Yarrowia lipolytica: one gene and its partner. The protein of the gene in region 2 binds, or shares a complex with, the protein of the main gene of each other region. Links are inferred from orthologs where the notes say so. Each region holds a gene or a part of one and is shown on either strand. Other genes may lie near its edges.

Evidence for each region.
Region 1: the proteins of YALI1_F04848g (region 2) and YALI1_E17037g are in contact, whole or in part, in a crystal structure (PDB 6KBM), measured with the Saccharomyces cerevisiae proteins. The link is inferred for Yarrowia lipolytica from reciprocal best matches to the Saccharomyces cerevisiae genes ATG13 and VAC8. Residues at the interface, in NP_015511.1 of Saccharomyces cerevisiae: Arg661, Ile662, Pro663, Ile664, Arg665, Gln666, His669, Tyr670, Ser671, Gln672, Pro673, Thr674, Thr675, Ala676, Phe678, Gln679, Ala680, Gln681, Ala682, Lys683, Phe684, His685; in NP_010903.3 of Saccharomyces cerevisiae: Val103, Ala107, Gly110, Asn111, Cys144, Asn145, Gly148, Cys149, Thr151, Asn152, Thr155, Lys160, Arg182, Asn186, Gly189, Leu192, Asn193, Thr195, His196, Arg201, Tyr226, Tyr227, Thr230, Ser233, Asn234, Val237, Arg242, Gln270, Arg276, Asn277.

The regions. Positions count from the first base shown.
Region 1 is NC_090774.1:1,701,377-1,705,767, forward strand, and holds YALI1_E17037g (uncharacterized protein), read right to left. Parts: upstream 2,392-4,391; coding exon 631-2,391; downstream 1-630. Other genes in the region: YALI1_E17014g (uncharacterized protein), read right to left, coding at 1-70; YALI1_E17065g (uncharacterized protein), read right to left, coding at 3,461-4,391. UniProt on the Saccharomyces cerevisiae protein: Functions in both vacuole inheritance and protein targeting from the cytoplasm to vacuole (cvt). Involved in the formation of nucleus-vacuole junctions (NVJs) during piecemeal microautophagy of the nucleus (PMN).
Region 2 is NC_090775.1:482,118-486,871, forward strand, and holds YALI1_F04848g (uncharacterized protein), read right to left. Parts: upstream 2,732-4,754; coding exon 584-2,731; downstream 1-583. Other genes in the region: YALI1_F04849g (uncharacterized protein), read left to right, coding at 2,794-2,855, 2,901-3,111; YALI1_F04855g (uncharacterized protein), read left to right, coding at 3,423-3,521, 3,577-3,819; YALI1_F04860g (uncharacterized protein), read left to right, coding at 3,980-4,006, 4,057-4,242. UniProt on the Saccharomyces cerevisiae protein: Activates the ATG1 kinase in a nutritional condition dependent manner through the TOR pathway, leading to autophagy. Required for autophosphorylation of ATG1 at 'Thr-226' and its dimerization. May also be involved in the regulation of autophagy through SNF1.

The DNA of each region.
Region 1 (4,391 bases), on a different chromosome or scaffold from region 2:
TTTCGCCGTCCTCCATGGCCCCGCTCGCGGTCGTCTCCATGTGCCGTATGCTCGCTTCAGATCCATCCATAACTATAGCTGTCTGTTTTGATATGGTTGGTTTGTTTTTTCGCTTCCGGTTCCAATTTTCAAGTCGGTGTAGTGGGCTTGTTTTCCCCGTGGGAGCATGCTTATATCGGAGCTATCTATGCACGGTGACCGAGTTTAAAGGGGCTGTGCTAGGGGGGTGTACCACAGCCTACAACAGGAGCATTTCGGAGGACACACAGCATAGAGTGACCGACGGACCAACAGGAAGAGGACACGTGACCTTTAATCTCACCCGATTGTTGCTTTTTCCACTCTATCAAAACACGGTTTGCACCCTCAACGGCCCCACTGGTCTATGAAGCCGGCCCATTAAGATTGTCATCCATCTACAATTGTAGGTCACCACCTCCACTTTTATTCATCCACTCATGTGAATGAACAAGGTTACATTGTGCCTATTACAGGTAACACCGATAACAAAGTTTGTGTTATCTCCAAGGAGATATGACGATGGAAACTACAGTATCTACAACTCCAAGTGCCGATTACAAATACATTAGTTGTCTTCCTTCTCCATATATAATAAATCATCGCATCCTACTATTTGAGCAAAGGAGCCACCTTTTTAGCCAACATGACAACCTCGCTCTTGGAATCCCGCATGTCCTCTCCATCGCCGTCAGCCCCATCAGAGTTCATGCTGGATAGCTGGTGGATGGCATCGACAATCTCATTGGAGTTCTTGAGCAGATCCTTAAGACGCTGGTCCTTGGACTCCAGCAGCTGCAGCACGGTCCACACGGCAATGTGGCCAAACGTAGAGTCGCCGCTGGTGAGGAACCGGATCAAAAACTCCCGGATTCCTCCGCTGGGCTCGTTCCAGTGGTTGACAAACGTGTCGTAGTTGCCCACCTTGGAAGACAGGTTGCCAAGCGCAGCGGCACTGTTGCCCTGCACCTCAATGTTGTCCGACAAGGTGAGGGGAATCAGAACCTCAGCGATTCCCAGCTCCAGCAATGTACCCTTGAGCTCGTCTCCGAGAGCGAGCACAGCCAAGCATGCAGTCATCTCGCTCTGGACCAGTCGAGGAGCGTCCAGCACTAGCTCCTTGCACTTCTGCACGGCGCCGGCCTCGACAATCTCCAGCTTGTTCCGCTCAGAGCTGGCAGCGAGATTTCGTAAGGTGGAGATTGTGTGGCACTGAATCTCCTCGTTGTCGCTAGCGCCCAGCAGCTCCACCAGCGTCTTAAGGAAGCCGGCCTCAATGATGGGGGTCTCGTTGAGAGGGTGGATGGAGATGTTTCGGATGCAAGCGACGGCCGCAAGAACCAGCGGCGTGTGAGTGGATTGGAATAAGTTAAACAGGTGGGGGAGGCCGTTGGCCTTGACAATCTCCAGCTGGTAGTCGGAGTCGCTGGCGAGGTTTCGCAGAGCAAGAGCAGCCTGGCACTGGACCCGAGGAGAGCCGGAGTCCATCAGCTTGATGAGATGCTCCACCAGCCGGGGCTCCGAGCTAGACAGCTTCTTTCGGTTGGACTCGTCCACAGCAATGTTGGAAAGAGCGGTGGTCGAATAGTACTGCACATCGGGGTCTCGCGACGACAGCAATGACACCAGAATGGGGATGGCGCCGGCGTTGACCAGCTCCTGTCGATTCTGGTCCGAGTGGGTCATGTTGAGAAGGGCACCAGTGGCGTTTCGCTGGACTCGCATGTCCTTAGACTTGGCGAGCTTGGTGAGTGGCAGCAGAGCGCCGGAGCGAGCAATCTTGGATTTGTTGGCCTCGTGGGTCGCCAGGTTGGTTATGCATCCCACGGCGTTGCACTGCACCTCCACGTTGGGCGACATCATCTGTCGGATGAGGGGCTCGAAGCCGCCCATCTCGACGATCAGCACCTTGTTTTCGTTGTTGACGGCGAGGTTGCCCAGGGCAGCAGAGGCTGCTCGCTGGATGTCGGGGTCGGTGTTTTGCAACAGCAGCAGCACGGGCTCGAGGCAGTCTCGGTTGACGGGCCGGATGTCCTTCTCTGTAATTTCTGCAAATGCGAGGGCGGCACTTCGCTGCAGGTCAATGTTGTCCGAGTAGACCAGAGTGCTGAGGGCTCGGAGGGGCCCGTTGGAGAAAAAGTCCACTTCGCCTCGGTTCTCGAGGTATCGCAGCAGGAGAGCCACGGCTTCCCGTTCGTCCTCGGCCAGCACGGGCGCGTAGTTGCCGTCCTGTTTGTTTCCTGGGTTAGTGACGACTGTGGGGCGGGGGGGAGCTGAACAAGAGAGACCAGACATACGCTGTCGCCCCATTCTGTCTGCAGCACTTGCTGCCATCTTCGCCCTTGCAAGACCCGCTCTCTGTCTGTGTACCATACTCACCTGAACAGCAGCTCGCACAAACACCCATCTTAGCTATTAGTCGAGGTAATCAGAAGACGTGTGTATATTAATGGCGGTCAAGTATCCAATCTGTCGCTTCACCGGGATATGGACCAACTAGGCTTTCGAGATGTCGACGTTTGTGGTGGTGTGACGGCGGTCTTGTGTTGCTACAAGAGAGTGTGGTGTGTGTAGTCGTCGAAAGTGCAGTAGACTTTGTGTGGGAGGGGTGTGTGAGAAGGGTTGCACAGTGCACCTAAATTGAGGTAAAACGGGGGGGAGGAAGGGCGGCGGTGGGAGCTATGATGCACAAGTCCGGTGCAACAATACCAATATAGGGGCGACATAATCCACGTAATAGGAGCCTACATAGCAACGTGACAGGTGTGAGACCCTTGCCCCGATCCGGCAGCGACATACCAGCACCTTTCTCTCTTTCTCTTGACGCTTCCCTCCCGCTCTACCTTTGGCTCTTCTTTTTTTGGCGTGTGTCAGATTGGTAATTTTGCCGGCAATTATACTTTGAGATTCTGAGCCTCGCTTCCCAAACGGGGTTTGTTAGTACACGCACCCTCTGAACTAACGAACTAAGGGGCAAATGGTGATAATTGGTCAGACGGTACACTGGAAGCAAAATAGCCGTCAAGAGAGCCTGGGGTTACATGCAACGCATATACGGCGTTGGAAACACCGAAAACACATGTTTGGAACACCCGCAACCCGCTCCAAGTCAACTAATCTATGCCTCCTACAGTCACCCTACCGCGTCTCGTATATCGTCGTCTAAGCACGACATACTCTACAGTGCCCAGTGTATACTCTACTGCAAAAGCCCCGGTGCACCGGTTCACCAGCAGAAATCAAGGCTAGGGAGTCTCTTGGGGCTGCCATCGTTGGGGGAGGAAATCAGATTGCTATTTCAGACTGCAATCAACGTCGGGCCCTTGTAATTGGACCATGTAAATTAGTTAAATATCGGGCGCAGCAAGCCCGTGGGATTATCAGCGCTTGCTGCTGTAATGCTGCATGGTCAACTAGAACCCTGAAGCTTAGTACTTGTAGGTTAGTTGGCCTTGTAAGCAAATCTCATGAGATTGCTTTGAGACGAGCCAGGAACACGCTGCACGGTCAGAGGAGAAATGGCGCTCTTCTTGGGACGCGCTTGCGGTGTGGAACTGGGCGTGATTGTGGGCGTGATTGTGGGCTTTTTGGCAACACCAGAGGAGCCTGTAGGAGTCACTACTCGACGCTTGGGCGTAGAGGCATTGTATCCAAACTCCTCAAACAGAGTAGACTTCCGCTTGGCACAAGTCACAGGTGTCTGCGGTAGCGTGGTGTCTTTGTTTGGGGTGCCAAACACGATGCTGCTTTCTTCAATGTCATCGTCGCTTCGGTCAGGCTCTGAACTCAACATGGTATTGAAGTTGAAGGGCTTGTTCTCCTTCTCAGCCTGATCGGGACTCGAAGGGATGGAGAAAAAGTGACTGGAAGTAAGCGCGGGGGACGTCTTCGTTCGGGTTGGACTCAACATGTTCTCCGCAGAAGCTGTTCGCACAGCCAGGTCAACCGGCTTTGCCACCAGAACAACGGGCTTCTTGCGGCGCAGCTGTTCGGGAAGTCGCTTGACATCGCCTGTGTACTCATTTTTGGGCGCAAAGAATCCCCGTAGATCGGTAGGCTTGGCTGTCTTGTTGGCAGGAAAAGTCTTATGAGTTCGAGGGTGCACCAGTCCAGTGGCTATTGCTCGCGCCAGACCTTGTGGAATCTCGGCGCCAATGTGAAAGTCGACCTTTTCGTCCAGCTCATCTTCAGGCTCATTCAAATGTACCAGCCTACGAGCCTCGGGGCAGTAGACTCGTTGGTAGAGAAATGTAAAGTTGGCAGCATGGAATCGTTCTAAAAAGTCGGGTGAGGAGTTGTATCCGTCCATACGAAGAGCCTTAATGATAGCCTCGGGAGTTTGCCATCGTCGAATGTACCGAGCAGCTCGTTTA
Region 2 (4,754 bases):
TGCTCACGTGATTCCCCTCCTCGTTGGTATCGAAAAAGCAGACCTACACTCATCTCTGAGACTGGTGAAGTCAGTTTACCCAATATACATGCCACCAAACAACTTTTTACACCAAAAGATAGCCCTGAGTCGGGAAAGTATTTCAATGTAAAAATATCAACAAATATCCGTACCAATGAAACGACAAAGTGCCGTCCCGTTTTCCCCATATGGCCCCGAAACCTTCCGTGGTGGTGATATGTTCACGTGACGTAGGATAAAGAAATGTCAACAACTGATGGTGTAGACAAGAAAACAGCTAGTTACATATATTAGTACAGAGCCCCCCGCAGTCGGATAATAATGATACCCATTTTGAGTCATGGGTGCCGATATGGGTCGTTGCTAGTTCAGGGGTCAGTGCCCTTCAAGGTCTTCCTACGAGTACAGTATGTACTGCCTACACTTGTGGCATATCTCCCTTCTGTAAATCGTATAAATATAATAAGTATGTGTCATTGATATAAGTTATGTCCTCTGCTGGTGTTGGTACTCTGGTAGTGTATGCCATCATCTTTTAGGAGGTGTGCTCGGAAACACAAGACTATGTCCTCACATTTCCTCCAGAAGCCGAATCCCCCATAGCCATATCACTCATGGCAAACAACAAATCATCGTCCTCGTCAAACTCTAGACCCGGCAATGGAGCCACCGAGTATCGCTTCTCGCCTCGTCCCCGGTCGTGCTCGGTATAATATCTAGAGCCCACCACGCTTGGAGAAGCTCCTACAAGATCATATCGCTCCAACGCCTTGTAATGAGAGTTATCAAGCTGGTCACGCTCAGAGTACGAATGAGCCTGGGGACGGGCACTGGTCCGCTGCTGCAGCTGATGGTACTCGCTGGTATGCTGGTCCGCCAGCGAAATGGGCTGCATCTGCGTCTCTAGCTTGCGAGGCGATGGAGGCACCGTCACGGGCCGGGGAAGGCTTGAAATCGCCTCCAGGTTCGCCTCGCCGCTCAGTTTGGACCGCACGTACGGAGGACTGGGCTGGTGGTGGTAGATTGATGACGTGATGCTGTCGGCAATACCCGCGTGCGATCCCTTGAGCTGCTGGAACCGCGCCAAAGGATCGCTGCCCTTGCGGGGAGACGGCAGCGAGTACGGGGACCCGGGTTTGATCGAGTCCACCATCTTGACAAAGTCGGACACGTCGGTGGGATCCTCAATGTCGATAAAACCCGATCCAGGTTCCATAAGAGAGGAGCCCGAAGACATGGCCGACTCAGCCGAGCCCACCAGCATTGAGTTTCGACGCCGCGTGCTGCTGATCGAGCCTGAACGGTTCCACTGTCTTGTACCGAACGATGACGAGTACTTGGGCACGGACCCGGAACGTGACGACCCTCCGGACGACGAAATCGCCTGTTCGTACGCCGAAGGCGTGTACCCAGGCGTGGTGACCACCCGTGCGTTATTGGTGGAGGACGTGGACGAGTTTGAGATAGTTCTGCGGGGGATTCGGAGCGCCGCAAGGGAGGAGGATGAGGGGACACGCGCAAAGGGAGGTGTGGAGGGGCTAGCCGAGGTCGCTGCGGGACCAGGCGAGCCCTCTTCACCTCCCCAGCCACCAGAGCCCCCTGAGCCTCCAGATCCGCCGCTAACTCCTCCACTCACTCCGCCAGAGCCTCCAGAGGTGCCAGCAAGACCCCCTCCAGTTGCTCCAACTCCACTAGCGCCACTGCTCCTTCTCCTCTCCATGTAGTCTGTGACAGATGACACAGAGGTGGGAACAATGGCCGCCCCACTCACTCCCACGCCCTGAGAATGCGAATGTCTCCGTGGCAGGCCCGTGATGTAATGCAAGTTGGGGGCCGCCATGGAGGGGTGTTTGACCGGCGGGCTGGGGGGCACCACGGGCTTCTCCTCGTCGATGCGCAGGAACTGTGATGACAGCATGGCCTCCGAGTCGTCCACGGCAAAGTTGCAGTTGACCCGGTAGCTCACGCTGATCTTGAAGACGCCCGAGGGGATTTCCACGGGGTCGAACGAAAAGGTCTGGAGATGCTGGGATTCGGAGCTCCCAGCTATGAGTTTGCTCAAGCCAACCCGCCCACGCGAAGAGATGGGCTGTGAGCCGTTAAGCACCCTGCAGCCGATGCGCAGCGGACTGGTGCTCAGTTTGCTTTTGCTAAGCCGCTTTTGCAGCGTCCACGCTGGCAGCAGCCTACAATAAGTGTACAGAGAGCGGAACAGCAAGATGCACTTTTTGTAGGCCATGGGGAGCTCTGTGGACGACGCTGGGGACGTTGTAGCTCCTCCTGCTTGGGGGTCGGGTCTCTGAATCTCAATGACCCACCGCTCCAGCACCACCTCTGTTTTCCTTCCTCCAAAGCTGGCGTTCCACCGTTTGCCAAAGGCGTCTTCTAGCACCAGCGTCTGGTTGGGCGAAAGATGGCGCATGTCCAGATAGGTCTCCACGACCACGGGAGGCATCTTGTCCATGTTGTAGATGTCGATGGTTCGCCACAGCTTGAGATCTTCACGGTAGGCCTCCAGCTCGTCTGTTTCGAGATTGAACCATTTGTTGAGTTTGTGTTTGTCGCCGCTCTGGCGCTGTTCACGCAGCCGGGGGTTGAGACGCGCCTGCACCACCACCTGGGTGGCCTTGGAGAAAAAGTTTTGCACCACCTGGTTGAGTTTCGACTTGGATGAGTGCGACGACCCGGACGACGTGCCTTGGAACGACATGCTGGTTGTGTCTACGACTTGTGAGTGCTGTTGTGTCTAGCAGCTGTTGTCTGGACACCAGAATGCGTTTGTGGTGTGGTGTGTTGTTTGTGCTGAGCTGTTTGTGGTGTTTGTGGTGTTTGTGGTGAGCTCTTCTGCTGAGCTGTTTGAGCTGTTTGAGCTGTTTGAGCTGTTTGTGCTGTTTGTGTCCGTGTTCGTGTCCGCAGTTGTGCTTGTGTGTGTGTCACCGGTCTGGAGGTGACGCCACAGAAGAGTGTGTCTGGTGTCAGCGGCGTGTGTCGGTCTGTTTGTGTCCGTCTGTTTGTGCCACTCGCAAAGAAGAGAAGAAAAAAACGGCCGGCGGTCTCGTCACAGGGCAGTTGCTCCGAGTGAGTCAATAACCAGAATAATAGTAGGAGGTTTGGCCAGTCAACCTACTTTCAGGCCCACATCAACATGGCCTTGCAGCCCAGACGCACTACGAGGGATTGTCACGTGAACGGAGCCAGTCTCGTGATACTGCCTCCCTGCTACCGCAAACCGCCGCTACTTGCCAAACCCGTCTGCTGACCCGGTACCACTGCCCGCCAACCAGACACAAAACGTGGCCACCGCCCAGCTCGCGCCCGCCCGCGCCGGTAATCAAACCAAACCCTTGCATGAGAAATCACCTCTGATAACGTTAAGATACAACGTCTCTATAAGGGGCAGTATGACAGGAGCTACAGGAGCAGGTGGCGTCGAGTTATTTACCCACATGGCGTATAGACTGGAGCGGGAAAGAGAGAGAGAAAGGGAGACGAAGAAGCATGTGTGACTCATAAACAGTTTGATTGCAGCAGACCCATTTCCCGCCAACAACCCAGTATCCACCCAGTATCCGTCACTGTCGGTATCCACCTACTACAATCTATGTACAGTATGTACGTACAGTACTTGCACTACTTGTAGCACCAGTGACAGACATGACTCATAAGGGAAGGTGGAATGGCGAGATTGAAAGGGGAAATTGCGGGAAATTGGCAGAAAAAGAATGTCCGGGGGGAGTTTCCCTAGCCGAATCTACCAGCGGCGTTTCGAATTTACCAGCGGCGTTTCGAATTTACTAGCGGTTTTTTTTAAAAATATTTATAAAATATTTTTAGGCCCTTTTTCATTATTTTAATGCTTTTTTGCCCCCGATTTTTTTAGCCATATATAAGGTAACCCCTCAAGTCTCCCCCCAAACGCACAGCCTACATTATCTGCTATCAGAGTCTTTATCAGAACATGAGGTGCATTTTAGACTCTGATTACGTCACCGAAAGCCACGGTGTCGTGAGCCGGAAAAAGGACCAAAAAAAGAGACAGAAAAAAGGCAAAGAGGGCGACCATGGGGCCGGTCACGTGACCCAATTCTCCCCCTCCCCCCCTCCGCGTGTCACATGACTTGGACGTCTCTCCGCAATCTCCAAAGACGTATCTTCCTGCCGTCTGATCCGGACACTCCAGTCACAGGATCCCCAGAGTCTATTTTATGCGCATCAGATTAGGTCTGTTTTTAATATCGGGCTTATCGTTGCTGGGAAACGACGGATGCGAGCGCGAGAGCAAACGATACGGCGCACATAGTCCCGGGAAAATGTGCAGACATCGGAGAAGGGCCCATTTTAGAGAGCGGACGATTCCGAAGCGAAAGCAACTCTCGTGGTGGCAATCCGAGTATTATTGAGCGAGATGGAAGCATACAATTAACGAGGCTAGTTGGATTAGTTATAGTTGGGAATTTGTTAAAGGAAAAAGTTACTGGGGGTTCAAATCCAATGTTGCAGAGGTGGTGAAGAAGTAAAAGTTGTATAGAAATGTAGCTGGAAACGAGGACTATGAAAACATGTAATAAATTATCATTCTTGTCATACAAAAATTCCATTCCGTAGCCATAATAGCAAAAAAAATGTCCTCCCTTTTTACTTAACTTTACTTGGAAACATGCATATATGACCAGTCATCATTACCACACTATGGCGACTCTACTTTAACACCCACCTCGCGCTTTTCGACTCTT